Arabidopsis thaliana: one gene and its partners. The protein of the gene in region 1 interacts with the protein of each later gene in a pairwise test. Each region holds a gene or a part of one and is shown on either strand. Other genes may lie near its edges. The genes, in order: BPC5, ABR1, MYB39 and AT2G39000.

Region 1 (4,099 bases):
GAATCATGCGGACTTCAAGAACCGCACTCTTTTCTCATTCGGCTCTGGACTGACCAGCTCGGGAGGACAAAATGATCCCGACGATGAGACCGTATAGAGCAAGAGCTTCAGCGAAAATGAGGATAAGAATCATACCAACGAAAAGCTTTGGCTGTTGAGCATTGGCCCTGTCATCAAACCACAAATTTGCGTATCAAAATGATATAACAGGGGATAGACACTCACAATTGAATTGATATTTCTTCCATTATATTTCATCCTAGAGAAATACGCCATGGCACAAGACATCTCACAGAAGCATGTAATGAACTGATATTTCTTCCATTATAGATTCAACAGTCAGTGAATTGCACATATTCCCTACCAAATTTTCATCAAGTTGAATTGTGACACTAAACTCATGATATTCTGATTCATAAGGGAGATATACTTGTATAAAATTGAGTCTTTTAGCAAATTAGGCTATAAGAGTGAATCTGCAAAGAAGGACACAGAGGATCGTACCTGACACCAGCATCGCCAACGATACCTATGGCCATTCCAGCTGAAAGACCAGCTAGCCCACAAGCAAGACCAGAAGAGAGATGAGCATATCCGTCGAAGAGGTAGTAGGATTTAGCCTTGGGGTTAATCCCGGTACTGATGATAACAGCAATAATCAAACCATAGATACCCAACACACCAGCCATAACAACTGGGACAATAGACTTCATCACCAACTCCGGCCTCATCACACCCATAGATGCCACTCCCACACCACTCTTTGCTGTCCCGTACGCAGCTCCCATACCTTGTTAATAACACAAAGATACACACTCTTTAAGGTCACAATCTAACTATGGTTTACACAAGTAATCAACATGCCTTCGATATGAAGAAAAAGCATAATTGACATAGATGAAAGCAACTCAGCAATTTTGATGGTAACAACGGTAAATCTGTACTTATGCAATTAGTACCAGTCACAGCAATCACAAAACCTGGCAACTCCAGCAAATTTCCCTAGGTAATTTCGATATGTTGGACAAAGAACAGGACACCAAGAAATTCTTTTTTTTTTGTCGGGGACACCAAGAAATTCAACACATACAGATCTAAGCCAAAAAGTCTTAGTTTCTAGAAGATCAGCCTAGACTACATCACCAATGGAGAAAAGACAAAGAAAAAGGATTTAAAACCAGCGTAGAGCAGTTCCATAAGAATTTGATCCACTGACTAAAGATAATAAACTAGAATTTTCGAAAAGGAGAGACATATAATAGTTCAGTGATATCGCTTAGCCTAAACAAATCTAGAGAGAAATTTCTAAGAAAAATCATGAGCAACACACAGATCGGTGAACTTCTCAGGGCCGATCTAAAGCACAAAAGCAACTTTGAGGGAGATCATGAGAACAACAAACACACACAAGATCAGTGAACAATTCAGAACCAAAGAGAAAAGAAGAAGATGGAGATTATAAGAGAGTATAGATGGATATACATGAGAAGACGAGCGCAGCGGCAGCGCCAAGGAAGCCGAAGAAAGGAGCGGTCTCATCGCCACTGAAGGTAGACATCTCTCAGGCGATTCTGGATCTTAAAATATGTGCTTCCTTGGAACACCGGAATCTGATCTCTCTTTCTCTCGCAGATCTCTCTCCGTTGAATATACAAGGATTGAGTTTCCGAGGCTCAAAAGCCTGATTGATGATGAGATATACTACTACTACAACAGCGAAGCGCACACGTCGGGATCTCAACCCGGGTCTACCCGTATTCGACCCAGATTAGTTGCCTTATTCTTAGGCCCATCATACGGCCCACTAGAATGATCCACCAGAACCAAAATCATATCCTGTTTGGCTTATATTTGGAGAGATTGAAACAGAAACGTCTTTGCATTTTTACGAGTAAGATGGATAGACAATAATAACCTTCTTGCTTGCTCTCGTTTAGCAGTTTTAAGACAAGGGTATATTAGTAAATTGAACCGAGAGTACCTGGCTCGTCTTCCACTTCTTGCCACATTACACAGACACCATTTCCAAGTATCCTCAGATCTTTCTCGATTTCCGTTGCTTGTTTCTCCTGAAGGCTCGTTGAAATCCGTAAGTCTTCGATCGTTAATCGTGTTCTTGACCTATCTGTTAATTTCAGCATGCCAAGTTTTTCTCTCTACAATTTTCATTTTCTTCGAATTTTGGTTCTTCTGGGAGCTCTCTCGTCGTTGCTTTAACTTGAAATTCGAACTCTATATATGTTCCCGCGTATCTTACTTGCTCCATTGTTTTCTTCATCGTTTGGTTTGGATGGTATTACGCTGACTTGTGGGATATGATACGATTTCTCGATTTATTTGGGTTAAATGTATGTTATGGAACTGCTTATGATTTGGAGTATTTCTGTTTTTAGTTACTCGTCAGCCTAGTTTCACAATGTTTGATATCAATTTCTCCATTGCAGTTGAAAGTAAGAGGATGGAGAGTGGTGGGCAGTATGAAAATGGGCGCTACAAGCCCGATTACTACAAAGGAACACAATCTGTGGTAAGCAAAAACACTTGAAGAAGCAGATCACTAAAACAAAAAAACATGTTTTCGTTACTTTGAATGAAACCTAAGTACAAACTGTGTGTGTGTGCAGTAGAATGTGATGCCGAAAAAGGAGCAACATAATGCATTGGTGATGAATAAGAAGATCATCTCCATCCTTGCTGAGAGGGACGCAGCTGTCAAGGAAAGAAACGAAGCGGTTGCAGCAACTAAGGAAGCATTAGCCTCTCGTGATGAAGCACTTGAGCAGCGGGACAAAGCTCTCTCTGAAAGAGATAATGCTATCATGGAGACAGAAAGTGCGTTAAATGCTCTTCGATACCGTGAAAACAATCTTAACTACATTTTGTCGTGTGCCAAGCGCGGTGGTTCCCAAAGGTTTATAACTGAAGAAAGCCACTTACCTAATCCTTCCCCTATATCAACTATTCCACCTGAAGCAGCCAACACGAGACCGACCAAAAGGAAGAAAGAGAGCAAGCAGGGAAAGAAAATGGGCGAGGATCTGAACCGTCCAGTTGCTTCTCCCGGAAAGAAAAGCAGAAAGGATTGGGACAGTAACGATGTCCTAGTCACGTTCGATGAGATGACAATGCCAGTGCCCATGTGCACTTGCACCGGGACTGCTCGTCAGTGTTATAAGTGGGGCAATGGCGGCTGGCAATCATCTTGCTGCACAACCACTTTGTCTGAGTATCCGCTCCCGCAGATGCCAAACAAGCGGCATTCCCGAGTTGGCGGCAGGAAAATGAGTGGAAGTGTCTTCTCCAGGTTACTTAGTCGTTTAGCTGGTGAAGGGCATGAGCTTTCCTCTCCGGTTGATCTCAAGAACTATTGGGCTAGGCACGGCACCAACCGCTACATCACTATCAAGTAACCAAGATTTATGAGCCAGTAGCCACTATATATCAAGTATTGCTCTCTCGTCATCCCTTTTGATTTTTTTTTTGTCGCTTTAGATTTAACAATTAGGATCAAAAGTCGAATGAAAGATGAAGTTAGGCTCGTTATTGTTTTTACTGTCGATAGTTCCGTTAAAAGGCAAATATCTAGTAGTACTGTTTTGACTTGGTTTTGTTGTTTTATGTAAATAGTTACATTATCATCTACTTTGTATTATTGTAATTTCAAAATTCGAAATCTCACCCATTAAATCGCAAGAATTTGAACAACTTCAACAAATAAAAAGGAAAAAAATTTAATAATCTCCTTATATTAGAGTCAAGCTTCAACGACTTATGTAGTCTCTTCATCTCAAGCTTACTCTCAAAGTTCCACTTAAAGAAAAGAAAAAAAAGCATGGACCAAAAGCTAAAGACCACCAACACTAGTCCACCACCGCAACCACCAAAGCGTTGGCTTAACCACATCAAGACATTTTTCGACGTTCCTAACCCGAGAATCGTTAGAATCTTTTTTATAGGCAGTTTTGCCACATTTTTCTCCGGAATTGCTTTTGCTTTTGAATGGACATTAAACGGCAAGAACCATAGCGGATTCCAATGGATCATCTACTACGCCTTGTCCCTGATCATTCTTCCTATTCTCATCTGGCTAGGTCTCGGT
Region 2 (4,660 bases), on another chromosome or scaffold:
GTTTTATTTTACTACTAATTTTTATTTGATAGACATATTTAGGTATTTTTATCGCCTAAGTGATTAAAAGCTACTGTATGTTTTAGTGGAATATAATTAAACTGGATTAGTATAAAACAGGGCATCTTAGTTTCTAAAAAGGGAAATGACCGGTGAAAAGGTTTATCCAGTTTTTTTTTTTTTTTTGTCGTGGTTTATCCAGATTAATTATACTGTCGTACAATATTTTTGTTCAGCTTCTTTAAGAAAATAAACTGTCGCACTGACTAATTAATTAGTTAATAGAGACTTGAGCATCAGCCTAAGAAAAATGTCACATCAATAACAATCGTTTTTTTTTCTCCCATCTTTGCAAATTATGTATTATTAGCTTCGTTAAATCTGCGACTTTTTAACAATACGAAAATGTCTCGTGTATAACAGGTAAAAATAACAACTACGTCAACTTGTGAGCACAATTGCTTAGATTGGTTAAAAACAAAAGTCCAACGATGCGTTTCGAGATTATCCTCAAGTTAACTCTCAACCAAAAAATAATAGAAAATCCAAAAGATATCAATATAATAATTATTCTGCGTTCAGACTAGAATCTACGAGTACATATCTGCAAGTTCTGAAATCTGAACCATCCTGAGCTTAATTGCAAATATGGACAACAATATGTTTTTCTTAACCAAAAAGTTTTTGTGCAGCCTCTATTAGACTCGATTCGGGCGAATAAGAAAACAACTCTTATAGTTAAAAGAAAAACACATCACAAATCCTAAAATCATATTTTCTTCTGAACAATGCGTTTCTATTTTTTTTCTATTTTCTTCTGAACAATGCGTTTCTATTATTTTCTTCTGAAAAATCGAAAACGAAGAAAATAATACAAGGTGTGGGTCAAACGGTCAAAGATAAGAGACGAAGGTTGAAACAAGTGGGCCGTAGGGTGAGGCCCAAACGGTCACGAGCATTAGCCTTACCATCACCGACACCGTCCACAAACGGAGCATCTGACGTCGACCAGAACCGACACGTGCAACACACGCGCATTCGTACGGAACGGCTCGTCTCTCAACTTGACCTTCAAGCTCACCGTTTAGACAAAATGCAAAAATAATCTTATTTTATAAATATTCCATTTAATGGTTTTACCTCTTTTTCAGCACCGAACCGTAAATATAGTAATTAATAATCGTTTCTGAATGCCTCCATATTTTAACAGTGTTTATAACTTCTTAAAGTTTTTACTATGCAAGTTGTCTTATGACACAGAGCTAATATACATAATTAATTCATTACCTTATTTATTTAATTTACTAGACTTGTTAAAGTATTCTTCAGAACTGTTCATAGAGTATAGGTCGCATATAGTATATTTACAAAAATATATAATTACTCACAAGTTGCGAAAAGATTCAGATACGTTTCATATAATAGGACCCAATTTTTTACAAAATTTGTTCAAATTGAGTTAAATCATCAAAACCAAATTTTCTTCTGTTATAGATCAAATTTATAAAAATAGCTATTTGCTATATTATATATATATATATATATATATAAACATTAGTTATTAAAAAAAAAACTGCGTGTTTCCAGTTCACACGGGTACAGAGAGAAGCCGACTCATTTTCATTTGGCGGCGCTGAAACCATACAAAGTAATTAACACAAGAAAATTAAATTTGTATATCTATCAGCTAAACCTCGTCCTTTGTCTTAAAAAACACATCTTCTAAAATCTCTGTCTTTCTTTCTTCCTCTTTGTCTCTGTTTCTTGTTTCTCTCTCTCTCTCTCTACAGAGTTTTCTTTCCCTCGAAGAAAAAGAATATTTTTAAATTTAATTTTCTCTGCGTTTATAAGCTTTAAGTTTCAGAGGAGGAGGATTTAGAAGGAGGGTTTTGTATGTGTGTCTTAAAAGTGGCAAATCAGGAAGATAACGTTGGCAAAAAAGCCGAGTCTATTAGAGACGATGATCATCGGACGTTATCTGAAATCGATCAATGGCTTTACTTATTCGCAGCCGAAGACGACCACCACCGTCATAGCTTCCCTACGCAGCAGCCGCCTCCATCGTCGTCGTCCTCATCTCTTATCTCAGGTTTCAGTAGAGAGATGGAGATGTCTGCTATTGTCTCTGCTTTGACTCACGTTGTTGCTGGAAATGTTCCTCAGCATCAACAAGGAGGCGGTGAAGGTAGCGGAGAAGGGACTTCGAATTCGTCTTCTTCCTCGGGGCAGAAAAGGAGGAGAGAGGTGGAGGAAGGTGGCGCCAAAGCGGTTAAGGCAGCTAATACTTTGACGGTTGATCAATATTTCTCCGGTGGTAGCTCTACTTCTAAAGGTTAGTTTTGTTGGGTTTTTATTTTGTCCTCTATAAACACACGTACCCTGTTTCGGATTTAAACCACATTAGTACACACCATTTTGATAAAATTTTACATATTTCGGTTGTGTATCCACAAAACATAAAACATTTAAATTATAAGATCATTCTATTTGATAAATGTTTTCAATAATTTTATGATGTAGTATATACATCAAGGTATGAGTCACATCAAATGTTTGTAACACAAAATCTAAATACAGTTGCACTTTTGTTGTCCTCACGCAATCTACAAAGCAACATGTCTTATATTTAGTTTTTTTATTCTTTTCTTTTATCGTTTTCTAAAATATGGCGAAGTTAGATATACTTTATAATAATTTAAATATAAAGAAAAATGAGGAATAAAAAATAGTAATTAGCGTAAAGATGTAAATAAATATTTCGAAGTGTTGACAAAAATAAATATAATAACGAAACTGTACTTGATTATCTTAAGACATATACTTTAGAATTGTTGTAAAAAGGTTGGATATTTAATTAAGAAAATGATGATGATGATGATGATATGCCAAAAGAATTTATCTCCCTCCAATTGCATCAAGAGTCGTTTTCCACTTCCTTTTTTTTTCTACTTGTTCATTCCTTTTGTCACCCATTTGCCTCATCACTTTCTCATACTCGCTCTTAAAAAAAAAACTTTATAATATCTTTATTGGAGACATTAATATTATCGATTCTTTTTCTTATGTAAGAAAGTGTTAATTCACGAGTGACAACAAAAGTGTGAAATTTTACATGTTTGTTTGTTTATTTGCAGTGAGAGAAGCTTCGAGTAACATGTCAGGTCCGGGCCCAACATACGAGTATACAACTACGGCAACTGCTAGTAGCGAAACGTCGTCGTTTAGTGGGGACCAACCTCGGCGAAGATACAGAGGAGTTAGACAAAGACCATGGGGAAAGTGGGCGGCTGAGATTCGAGATCCATTTAAAGCAGCTAGAGTTTGGCTCGGTACGTTCGACAATGCTGAATCAGCAGCAAGAGCTTACGACGAAGCTGCACTTCGGTTTAGAGGCAACAAAGCCAAACTCAACTTCCCTGAAAACGTCAAACTCGTTAGACCTGCTTCAACCGAAGCACAACCTGTGCACCAAACCGCTGCTCAAAGACCGACCCAGTCAAGGAACTCGGGTTCAACGACTACCCTTTTGCCCATAAGACCTGCTTCGAATCAAAGCGTTCATTCGCAGCCGTTGATGCAATCATACAACTTGAGTTACTCTGAAATGGCTCGTCAACAACAACAGTTTCAGCAACATCATCAACAATCTTTGGATTTATACGATCAAATGTCGTTTCCGTTGCGTTTCGGTCACACTGGAGGTTCAATGATGCAATCTACGTCGTCATCATCATCTCATTCTCGTCCTCTGTTTTCCCCGGCTGCTGTTCAGCCGCCACCAGAATCAGCTAGCGAAACCGGTTATCTCCAGGATATACAATGGCCATCAGACAAGACTAGTAATAACTACAATAATAGTCCATCCTCCTGATGACTTGCTTCATTTTATTTGTTTCACTATAGAGTAATAGAAAACAGGAAAATGATTATATGTTATAGAGTTATTTTTCCAAATATTATAGGGTTTAGGTTGTTTGTATTGTTCTGCTTTCATCCTCTCATGCTTTTTTTCTTAATTTATTATATTTTTGCATTATAATTTCGTTTCATTGTAACAAACATTAAAAAGACCACATGGAGAAAGGAAAAAAAAGAGAGTTTTGTATATAATCTTGCAAGGTCTCCTAAAGAACACAAAAAAAATGTGTTCGAACCAAGCAGAGAAAGAAAACTCAAATGATTATGTTAGAACGAGAGCCTGAAAGATTCTTTCCACCGATGTGTGTGGCTAGACCGGGTTCTCAAGCTCTTAGTGCAACTTTATGAACCATTGTTTCTTTGTGAATTTGGTGACAACTCTTTTCAACAAGATCCAAAAGCTTCTCCAAGTTTGTTGCCCACGAGTTGAGGATTTCGTTGCTGTCTTTAACAATCTGGAAGCAGATTATTCCTGATGGTCTGTCGATTTTTGCTATCAAGGCTTTGGACACAACCATTTCAGATAGATGCTTCTCTGCTTCCTGAAATATAATGAAACGGTAAGAAGAGATTTAAACATGTACTGGTACACTTAAGAGTATTTTGAAACTATATTTACCTCAGTGGTTAGGCATAAAAGTTCTGCAAGTCTCTTAAAGGTAATCCTTGAGTAGTACTTTGAGACAACGAGAATATTCTGCAGAAGATGTGAAGAATTTGTAAAGTTAAGACTCTTCAGTAA
Region 3 (4,123 bases), 8.3 Mb from region 1:
GTAAGCCGCGTAACAATAACATTACATAGAATTTTAAGGCTTGTCTTATCTATACTCGTTGACAATGTCAAATAAATATAGCATAGGAATTTTATACTATATGGTGCTACTAATTACATGGAACCCTTAATATATACGACTGTTTAAATAGTCAACGTGATAAATAGAGAGTTGGTAAGTGTTTGGTTTTAATTTGACAATGTGAAACAAGCCTGAACATTGACCCTTTAAACCATAACAGTAATTTAACGGTAAAAAAATAGTAATTAAGTATGTAAACAAGATCTTCCGTGAGAGTGAAATTAAACCTCATTATTTAAATTATACTAGTAAACATTTTCTCCAACCGTAGGAAATTTCGTTTTATGTTTTTTTTCTAATTTGTCGTGATCCTTCTCATTCCTTTGAAGACAACAAGATTCTATTATGAAAGATTTTTTCAAAGATCCAATAGTATAATACAACGTAATATATAATACCAACTTTATAGTTACACCTTCTAATAAAATCCACTTACTCGTTTATGTGTTCCTCACGCTATCGACTTAATGTTTGGAACCCGCGAGAGAAGTTCTTTAATTAAATTAGTCAATCGAAAAAAGCTATCCATTTCCTTTATCAAAGTAAATCAATTCGAAAATCTCGTATTAACTTGATCATCCAAATCCATATGTATATTTTCGAATAATATAAAACAGAAATTGAGATAACCTATACTAAAGAGAGTTTCACGTAAAAAATTTATATTTTCACGTAACAAAAAATTACAAAACAATTAAACAAAAAACAAATGATAATAGCATAGGTAATTTTTTGTGACTTGAAATTCAGAACGTATGGTAGGCACAAACGACGGTTTGGTAACAATAAGGAGAATAATAATAATCTTCGTTTGAATTCAAATAGAGGAAGAAGAAGCGAAAGGGTAGGCTTTGATCAACCATGAGACATTGAAGCAGGTAGAGATAATTCTTTGAATGCGGTGGAAGCAATCACATAATGATAAATGCAAGATTCCAATTTTGATGAACTTTGCAATGAGAACATAATATTGCTTTTCAATTAAATATTAGTTAAATATACCCTTCAAGAAAAGTAGTTAACAAGTTTAATTTATAATCATGCATTTATGCGAAATTCTTATTTGTAGGTTTTAATCTAAATAGAGAAATATACACATATATAGGAAATATTCAAAAATGATCACATGCATGTTTAATTTTTGAAAAATGTGGCTTTCTTTTATAACATAATTTCAATAAGATTAGTTTGAATTGCAGATTATGAAATAGTATATAATTTGTGATTGTTTTACAAGTAAAAGAGCGTAAGAAATTTGGTCCCAAAAAAAAAAGATTTTAGTAGGGAAATATCAACATTTTATTCTAACATAGCTAGGGCAAATATTTTATACATCTAACCCACAATAACAAAATCCATTAATGCATTAACAATTATTCGTATTCTTTTATATAAAAATTATTTGTTTGAACATCATCCCCACGAATTACTCTTCGAAGTTCGAACGCCATGACACATATCATATTATCAGTACCTAATCTTGATTTTGTTATAACTATTTTGGTTATTTAACTGATTTATTGAATGACTCATATATTGTAGACTTATGACACACTATGAAAAATAATATTTACACCAAATTCTGACGAATGCATACACAACTTTACTTTAGTTATGTCATGACTGCTTTTCACATCTATATATACATACAAACCTAATCGTAGGGAGCGACGAAACGAAGATCATATCTTCAAAAACCTCTGATAAGTTTTGGTTCTTGATATAAACAAAATGGGAAGATCACCGTGTTGCGATCAAGACAAAGGCGTGAAGAAAGGACCGTGGCTGCCAGAAGAAGATGATAAGCTCACTGCTTATATAAACGAGAATGGTTATGGGAATTGGCGGTCGCTTCCTAAGCTCGCTGGACTTAACCGCTGTGGCAAGAGCTGTCGGCTCCGGTGGATGAATTATCTCCGGCCTGATATCCGGAGAGGCAAATTTTCCGATGGAGAAGAGAGTACTATCGTTAGACTCCATGCCCTCCTTGGCAACAAGTAAGACTATTTTTTTTTCGTTAAAGCTTTTATGCTATTTTGTTAGCACTAAATGATTTAGGTCTCGCTTGTTTCAGACGTAATTATGTGTTCCTGTTTACATGTTTTTTTCATAATTTTAAAATATAAACCATTTTCAGTTCTTTTAAAATTAATATAAAGTGCAAAAACAAATTTACGTATGGATACCATTGCATAGTTTATTATTGCTATTATAGAATTCACATCCTCAAGACTATAGTCTAAACTTTAGTTTATAATTCTCTAACCATACAAAAGGTTAAGTTTTCGTTGGTTCATTTTACTAACGTTTGAGTCGAATTTTTACCATACAGATGGTCGAAAATTGCGGGTCATCTTCCAGGAAGAACAGATAATGAAATTAAAAACTATTGGAACACTCATATGAGGAAGAAGTTATTGCAAATGGGGATTGATCCAGTGACGCACGAGCCAAGAACCAACGATCTTAGCCCTATCCTCGATGTTTCTCAAATGCTCGCGGCAGCAATCAACAATGGCCAATTTGGTAACAATAACCTCCTCAACAATAACACCGCTTTGGAAGATATTCTTAAACTCCAATTGATCCATAAAATGCTTCAAATCATAACCCCCAAAGCCATACCAAACATCAGTAGCTTCAAGACCAATTTACTGAATCCTAAACCAGAACCGGTAGTCAATAGCTTCAATACCAATTCAGTGAATCCTAAACCGGATCCCCCGGCTGGTCTTTTCATAAACCAAAGTGGAATCACTCCTGAGGCCGCCTCGGATTTCATTCCATCTTATGAAAATGTTTGGGATGGTTTTGAAGATAACCAGCTTCCTGGTTTGGTTACGGTTTCTCAAGAGAGTTTAAATACAGCAAAACCGGGTACCAGTACGACCACCAAGGTAAATGATCATATCAGAACCGGTATGATGCCGTGTTACTATGGTGATCAACTACTAGAAACCCCATCTACTGGTTCGGTATCGGTCTCTCCCGAGACAACCAGTTTGAACCATCCCAGTACAGCTCAACACTCATCCGGTTCAGATTTCCTAGAGGACTGGGAGAAGTTTCTTGATGATGAAACAAGTGATTCTTGCTGGAAAAGTTTCTTAGAGTAAGATCTATCTCCGCATTGATTAACATAGTATATGATTTATATTTATGGTTTATTAACAGAATTGTTTTATCTAATCTGCAGCTTAACGTCACCCACATCGTCACCTGTCCCATGGTAGAACTGGATTTTGTTCGGGTCGTATACTCATAGTTTTAAAGACAATACATACACAAAGATATTCGATTAATACTCTTAATTTTGTTTGTTATTAAATATTGATTTAAAGTTTGTATATTTTCTTGTAAAGGAATTCTTATTTGTAATTTGTTCTTATTTGGTTTGGTTGTTGTGTAAAGAAACACATTGTAATCACCATTCTATTATTGCCCATTTAATAACAATATTTTGGATAAATATCTACGAGCAGTCTAATTTATACAATCAAACAACTCTATGGAAACATAACTTGATTCACAAGTTTAATAAAAATTCACCTATTTGCCAATAAGGAAATATATTAAAATGTCAATCTCTCGATGTTTCTAACAGAAAGATTGACAAAAAATCAAAAAACAAACAGTCACCAAGAATGGAGGAAGAAGAGAAAAACCCTAGTTCGATCTACATAGTTGCCGATCTTCTAGAAGATATATTCCTTCGACTTCCCTTGAAATCCATTCTCATATCGAAAAGCGTCTCAAAACGATGGAGATCAATTCTTGAGTCGAAGACGTTCGTGGAGAGACGAATGAGTCTTCAAAAGAAGCGCAAAATCCTGGCTGCTTACAACTGCAAATGCGGCTGGGAGCCTAGGCTCCTCCCCGGGTCGTCGCAGTGCAAAGGGAACGAAGAGATCGTCTATCTGCACTGCAACGCCGCACAACCCTCGTTTACTTGCGACGGTTTGGTCTGCATTCTCGAACCACGTTGGATAGACGTTTTGAACCCCTGGACAAGGCAACTCCGGCGATACGGATTCGGATTTGG
Region 4 (4,512 bases), on another chromosome or scaffold:
GATCGACCTCCATGAACCATGAACATTAAATCTTGTCCACGTGGTGTCCGTGGTAGACCCATCTAATTTACGTAGCTAGGCCCGTCCATGGCAGAGTAGGATTGGACACCAAGATAAATACAAGAATATATTTGAAGCGAAGCATTTGGCGGATTATAGAGTTCTACAAGACTACAACAGATGATGCATCACTTAATAATACCAAAAAAAAAAACAAATGTCCCACTTAATAATCGAGCGACGACCATTATTTTTTTCTGTAAATAAAATGAAAATGAATTGCTTCATGAATTATATTACTCATTTTTCCTAGAGATGGGACCGTTCATAAAAAGTATTACGGATATACTGATAGCAAAACATTTTTTTTTTTTCTACGCAATTTTGTAATTTACAACTTATCTAAACACATTCGGATTCATTGTAATATTAATTCTATGTATACAATTCATCTTCATCCATATTTTTATAACATCTTCTTGTTTTGAATTTTTATTTTTTACATGAGTCACATGACTATAAGTCAATAATATCATTTTGCTGCTAATACGTGCTGTAATTAAAAAAGAAGAAGCAAAAAGACTCAAATTGTTACTATAAACAAGAATGTTTAAAACACGTGAAAAAATTGGTATAGGGCTGCTTAAAAGTAAAAAACAATTGCGTGAAATACAAAGGCTTCATTTAAGGTTCTCCATTCTTTGTTCCGACAACTTTATTGTTCATAACAAATAGCTTACCCAAAACGGCTTAAACAAACATTCGATAAAGTATTAATTAATGTAAGGAAAAAAAAAGTAACAGAACAATAACTATTAAAAAGTGACCCATGTAAGATATCGAAAATGATTCTGCATTTTTTTTTAAAAAGATGAAGAAGTGAATCTTCTGTCGCGGAAACTTCTAAGCAGGAGACATGGCATCTGGACACCACACGGTTAGTACACTTCTATGATGTCGGCGAGAGACGTGGCGACATTTGTGGATCGTGATGAGCTTGTGGTTGGGTCGGAATGTACATTGTCTTTTTGGATAATGGTTTTGTGGCTCACCAAATATCATTGGATTAGATCAGAACTTCGAAATCTAACTTGTCCACGTCAACTTTTCACTGAAATTTCTTTCCTGTAGTTTGTTTCTTTCTCATTATTTAGATGGAAGTTTTGACAATTCAAGCGACATCAATATAAAGTATTTTTGTTTGGGATTTAAGGATGGTCTCCTACTATTTCAAATTTGTGATGAGTTTAGTGTCGACTAAAGGGAAAAAGTTATATTCGTTTTTGAATTTGGATGTTTTGAATTCGTAAAAAAAATATAAACGCGCTTAGCTTATTTGTTTTATTTTCTACATGTAAATTTAAATTTATAAGAAAATTGCATAATATGGTGGAATAAGTACTGATTTTAAGGAAATTTATAAGAAAATAAATTGTAATTTATGATGAAAATAGTTAAATAGCTAAAAAAATTAGCGGATTAAATCCAAATACAAATCATGCAAATCAGATTTCTACGTCACATTGGTGTGTTTATGAAAATCCAAATACAAAACATAGATAAGTAAACTTACAATAAACTGATAACAGTAGTCTTCGTAAAGTTCAAATACGAAGCATTTTTTTTTTGTGGAATGATGAATGGTAATGGTATAATATGATGAAGATGATGATGATGAATGCGGTGGGTGAAGATGATGATGGATGATGTTGATGATGGTGGTGGTCATATGGTGATGATGGTGACATATGCTGATGTTATATAATGTTGATAATGATGATGATGCTTGTATGAAGATGGGGATTGGGGATGATGTTTATGGTATGATAATGATGTTGTTTATGAAGACGGATGATGCGGTGTGGATAGTGTTCATCTCTTTTCTTGTTTTGGTTGCCAAACCATTTCACTACAGATTTTTTTTTTGGCATAACAGTAGCTACAAACTTTTGAAAAAAGAAAGAGCAAATTTGATTCTAGACGTTTTGGCAATGTGGATTGGTGGGGTAAAAAAAACGTGTGAATTGGTGGGAAAAAAAAAGAGTTTATTTCCCTAACGCGAATTATTAAATAAAAAGATTACTATTAGTGAATAGTGACTTAGGATAATCCTGCTGGTTCTTTATTAAAATCGTGATTGGTGCGATTTGACCGGTCGAACCGGCCGGTTTGTTGTTAAAATCGTTTGTGTTGGGTAAGAAATAAAGATAGCTAGAGAAGCAGAAAAGGCACGGCGAACGGAGAAAGATGCGGAGCACACCGTTGGGGACGACGGCGGTTTCACCAGCTTCAATCAAACACAACTCTTATGGGTATGGCCGCTTCGTTTCCTCTTCAGGAGTCTCTAATTTCTCTATCCATCGTCGGAGACGCCACTCGTCGTTTTCTATCTCTCAAGCTCCTTCACAAATCAACTCAGGTTTGATGATGAGCTATGATTTAGATCGAGTTCCAATTCTTAAGCCATCCCCAGATGAATTCAGTTAGATGCTCTCTAGTGTAATTGACCATGCCTGATTGAAAGATTCAATTTTAACTCATTTTTCAACGAAACAATTGATTGCGCATGTTTGCTTCATGAAGCTTTAAATTTTCAGGCTTTTGCATGATTTCAGCAAATCAGTTGTTTTATTAAACCTGAGGACCTCTTGTCACTGAGTCTTTTAGGAATAGTTTAGAGTTTTCACCGGGTTTGAGATTCTGGTTACAGAAGAAAAGTGTGAACATAGTTGTTGCTTCTATCAATGGGTGATAAATTTGTTCTTTGATGAATATATTTGTTATCTTTGTATGTAGGAGCTTGCAATGCAAGTCAAATAGTTGATCTTTTTCCAGCGGTTTCACCTGAAATCGTTGTTCGTGAAGCACGGTTAGAGGACTGTTGGGAGGTGGCAGAGACTCATTGCAGCTCTTTCTTCCCGGGATATTCGTTCCCGCTTGATGTTGTTCTAAGAGTAGATAGGTTAATGGCAATGGTGATGGGATTTTCTATTCCACCTGGGTGCCAGAGGACTTGTTTAGTGGCTGTGATAGGTAGTTCAGTAGATGAAACCATCTGCTTTGGAAGTGATGATTTCAAAATTGGAGCTTTTGATGCAAAGATCAGCTTAAACAAAGGTTATGTTGCTGGAATCTTGACTGTTGATACTGTGGCTGATTACCTTCCAAGAAAAGGACCTCTCCGCCAGAGAAGGTTCGCTTTTCGCCTTAGCTTTTATTTCTGTCGTCAAGCACTGTGCCTCTGTTCTTAAGACTAAGGACCTAGTCTCAAAAATGTGCAACTAGGATAACATAAAGTTTCGCAATCTTTAGCTAATCTTGGTGAAAGAAGGATCTTGTCATTTTTTGTTGGGAATGTGTTGTGCTCGGATCTGGATTCGTTTATTGTCTTATAATGATTTGATGGTGTGTTCCTAATTTAAAGCCAGGACCGGGATCGCTTATGTATCAAATGTGGCAGTTCGAGAGAATTTCCGGCGCAAAGGAATAGCCAAGAGACTCATATGGAAAGCAGAGGCTTTAGCCAAGAACTGGGGATGTAGAGCTATCGGCCTTCACTGTGATCTCAACAACTTAGGAGCAACTAAACTTTACAAAGATCAAGGTTTCAGATCCATCAAGATCCCTGAAGGAGCGACTTGGCCTCAACCGAAGACATCTCCTGACACCAGGTTTACCTTCATGATGAAGCTAGTGAACAACAACAATACACAAGCTCTTGAACAGTTTCGGTAAATCCGAGGAAAAAGGAAATTTGAATTCCGTTTGTTGTTGAAATATAGCTCTGATTATGTAATTGTAAATATGGTTGCAGTCTTGTGTAAATGCTATTGTCTATAATATTTCGACCAAATACGCTTTTTCAGTTTTTAAGGTCTTGTAGCACCGTGAACTTTTTGCTTCTCCCGCAAGCATGTTTCAAGACATTCCAAGTCTTAGCCATACTTGATTTATATACCAATGTAATAAAAAAAAACATCTAAAATCGCATTCGTCGCACTATGCTAATTAAGATCCATAGTTTAAACCTACATAGCGTATTCGAAACTCAAGATTAATATCACTGGAACAAGAAGAAATCGGCATGGAAGTCATAAAGATATCACACATTGGACATATTATTGTGTGAAGAAATTCTGACGCCACTAACATGTAATTTTATCTGTCGAACATACTTAGCTTCATTTTCTATATCTCAAACTTGTATTTTACGAACTCCTTTCTGCAAGGCAGCAAGTTTGATGATATTGAGCGATTCTACCAAATCATCACATAGTACATGAGGGTCTGGAATCACTGTTTTGTCGACTGCTAGATTGATGATAATCTTGTTTATGTAGCTCACGAAATAGATAATAAGAGCCTTGTTCAACAACAAACATAAACAAACTGTTAGTTAATTTCATCAAAGTTTTCTATGATTTCTAAAAAAGTTAAACTGATATACAAGTAGGGCATGAGGCGCATGATTAGTATACTTACTTGTGATCCACCCAATGAACTTGCTATTGC

The links.
Region 2: the proteins of BPC5 (region 1) and ABR1 interact in a two-hybrid assay, tested with the Arabidopsis thaliana proteins (one large-scale study listed by BioGRID).
Region 3: the proteins of BPC5 (region 1) and MYB39 interact in a two-hybrid assay, tested with the Arabidopsis thaliana proteins (one large-scale study listed by BioGRID).
Region 4: the proteins of BPC5 (region 1) and AT2G39000 interact in a two-hybrid assay, tested with the Arabidopsis thaliana proteins (one large-scale study listed by BioGRID).

What each region holds. Positions count from the first base shown.
Region 1 is NC_003075.7:18,144,789-18,148,887, reverse strand, and holds BPC5 (basic pentacysteine 5), read left to right. Parts: upstream 1-1,996; 5' UTR 1,997-2,089; intron 2,090-2,444; 5' UTR 2,445-2,458; coding exon 2,459-2,527; intron 2,528-2,624; exon of another isoform or gene 2,625-2,627; coding exon 2,628-3,410; 3' UTR 3,411-3,537; downstream 3,538-4,099. Other genes in the region: VHA-C3 (vacuolar-type H[+]-ATPase C3), read right to left, coding at 35-167, 505-790, 1,483-1,558; AT4G38905 (uncharacterized protein), read left to right, coding at 3,833-4,099. UniProt on the Arabidopsis thaliana protein: Transcriptional regulator that specifically binds to GA-rich elements (GAGA-repeats) present in regulatory sequences of genes involved in developmental processes.
Region 2 is NC_003076.8:25,889,786-25,894,445, forward strand, and holds ABR1 (Integrase-type DNA-binding superfamily protein), read left to right. Parts: upstream 1-1,663; 5' UTR 1,664-1,893; coding exon 1,894-2,332; intron 2,333-3,134; coding exon 3,135-3,871; 3' UTR 3,872-4,103; downstream 4,104-4,660. Other genes in the region: RPN5B (regulatory particle non-ATPase subunit 5B), read right to left, coding at 4,242-4,460, 4,538-4,615.
Region 3 is NC_003075.7:9,881,058-9,885,180, reverse strand, and holds MYB39 (myb domain protein 39), read left to right. Parts: upstream 1-1,748; 5' UTR 1,749-1,812; coding exon 1,813-2,078; intron 2,079-2,413; coding exon 2,414-3,193; coding exon of another isoform or gene 3,194-3,197; exon of another isoform or gene 3,198-3,277; coding exon 3,278-3,314; 3' UTR 3,315-3,582; downstream 3,583-4,123. Other genes in the region: AT4G17780 (F-box and associated interaction domains-containing protein), read left to right, coding at 3,726-4,123.
Region 4 is NC_003071.7:16,285,677-16,290,188, reverse strand, and holds AT2G39000 (Acyl-CoA N-acyltransferases (NAT) superfamily protein), read left to right. Parts: upstream 1-1,926; 5' UTR 1,927-2,247; coding exon 2,248-2,419; intron 2,420-2,796; coding exon 2,797-3,193; coding exon of another isoform or gene 3,194-3,251; exon of another isoform or gene 3,252-3,424; coding exon of another isoform or gene 3,425-3,428; coding exon 3,429-3,735; 3' UTR 3,736-3,964; downstream 3,965-4,512. UniProt on the Arabidopsis thaliana protein: Protein acetyltransferase with dual specificity triggering both N-alpha-acetylation (NTA), with a large spectrum of modified N-termini, including methionine, alanine, serine, threonine and to a lower extent glycine and valine as substrates, and epsilon-lysine acetylation (KA) of several plastid proteins.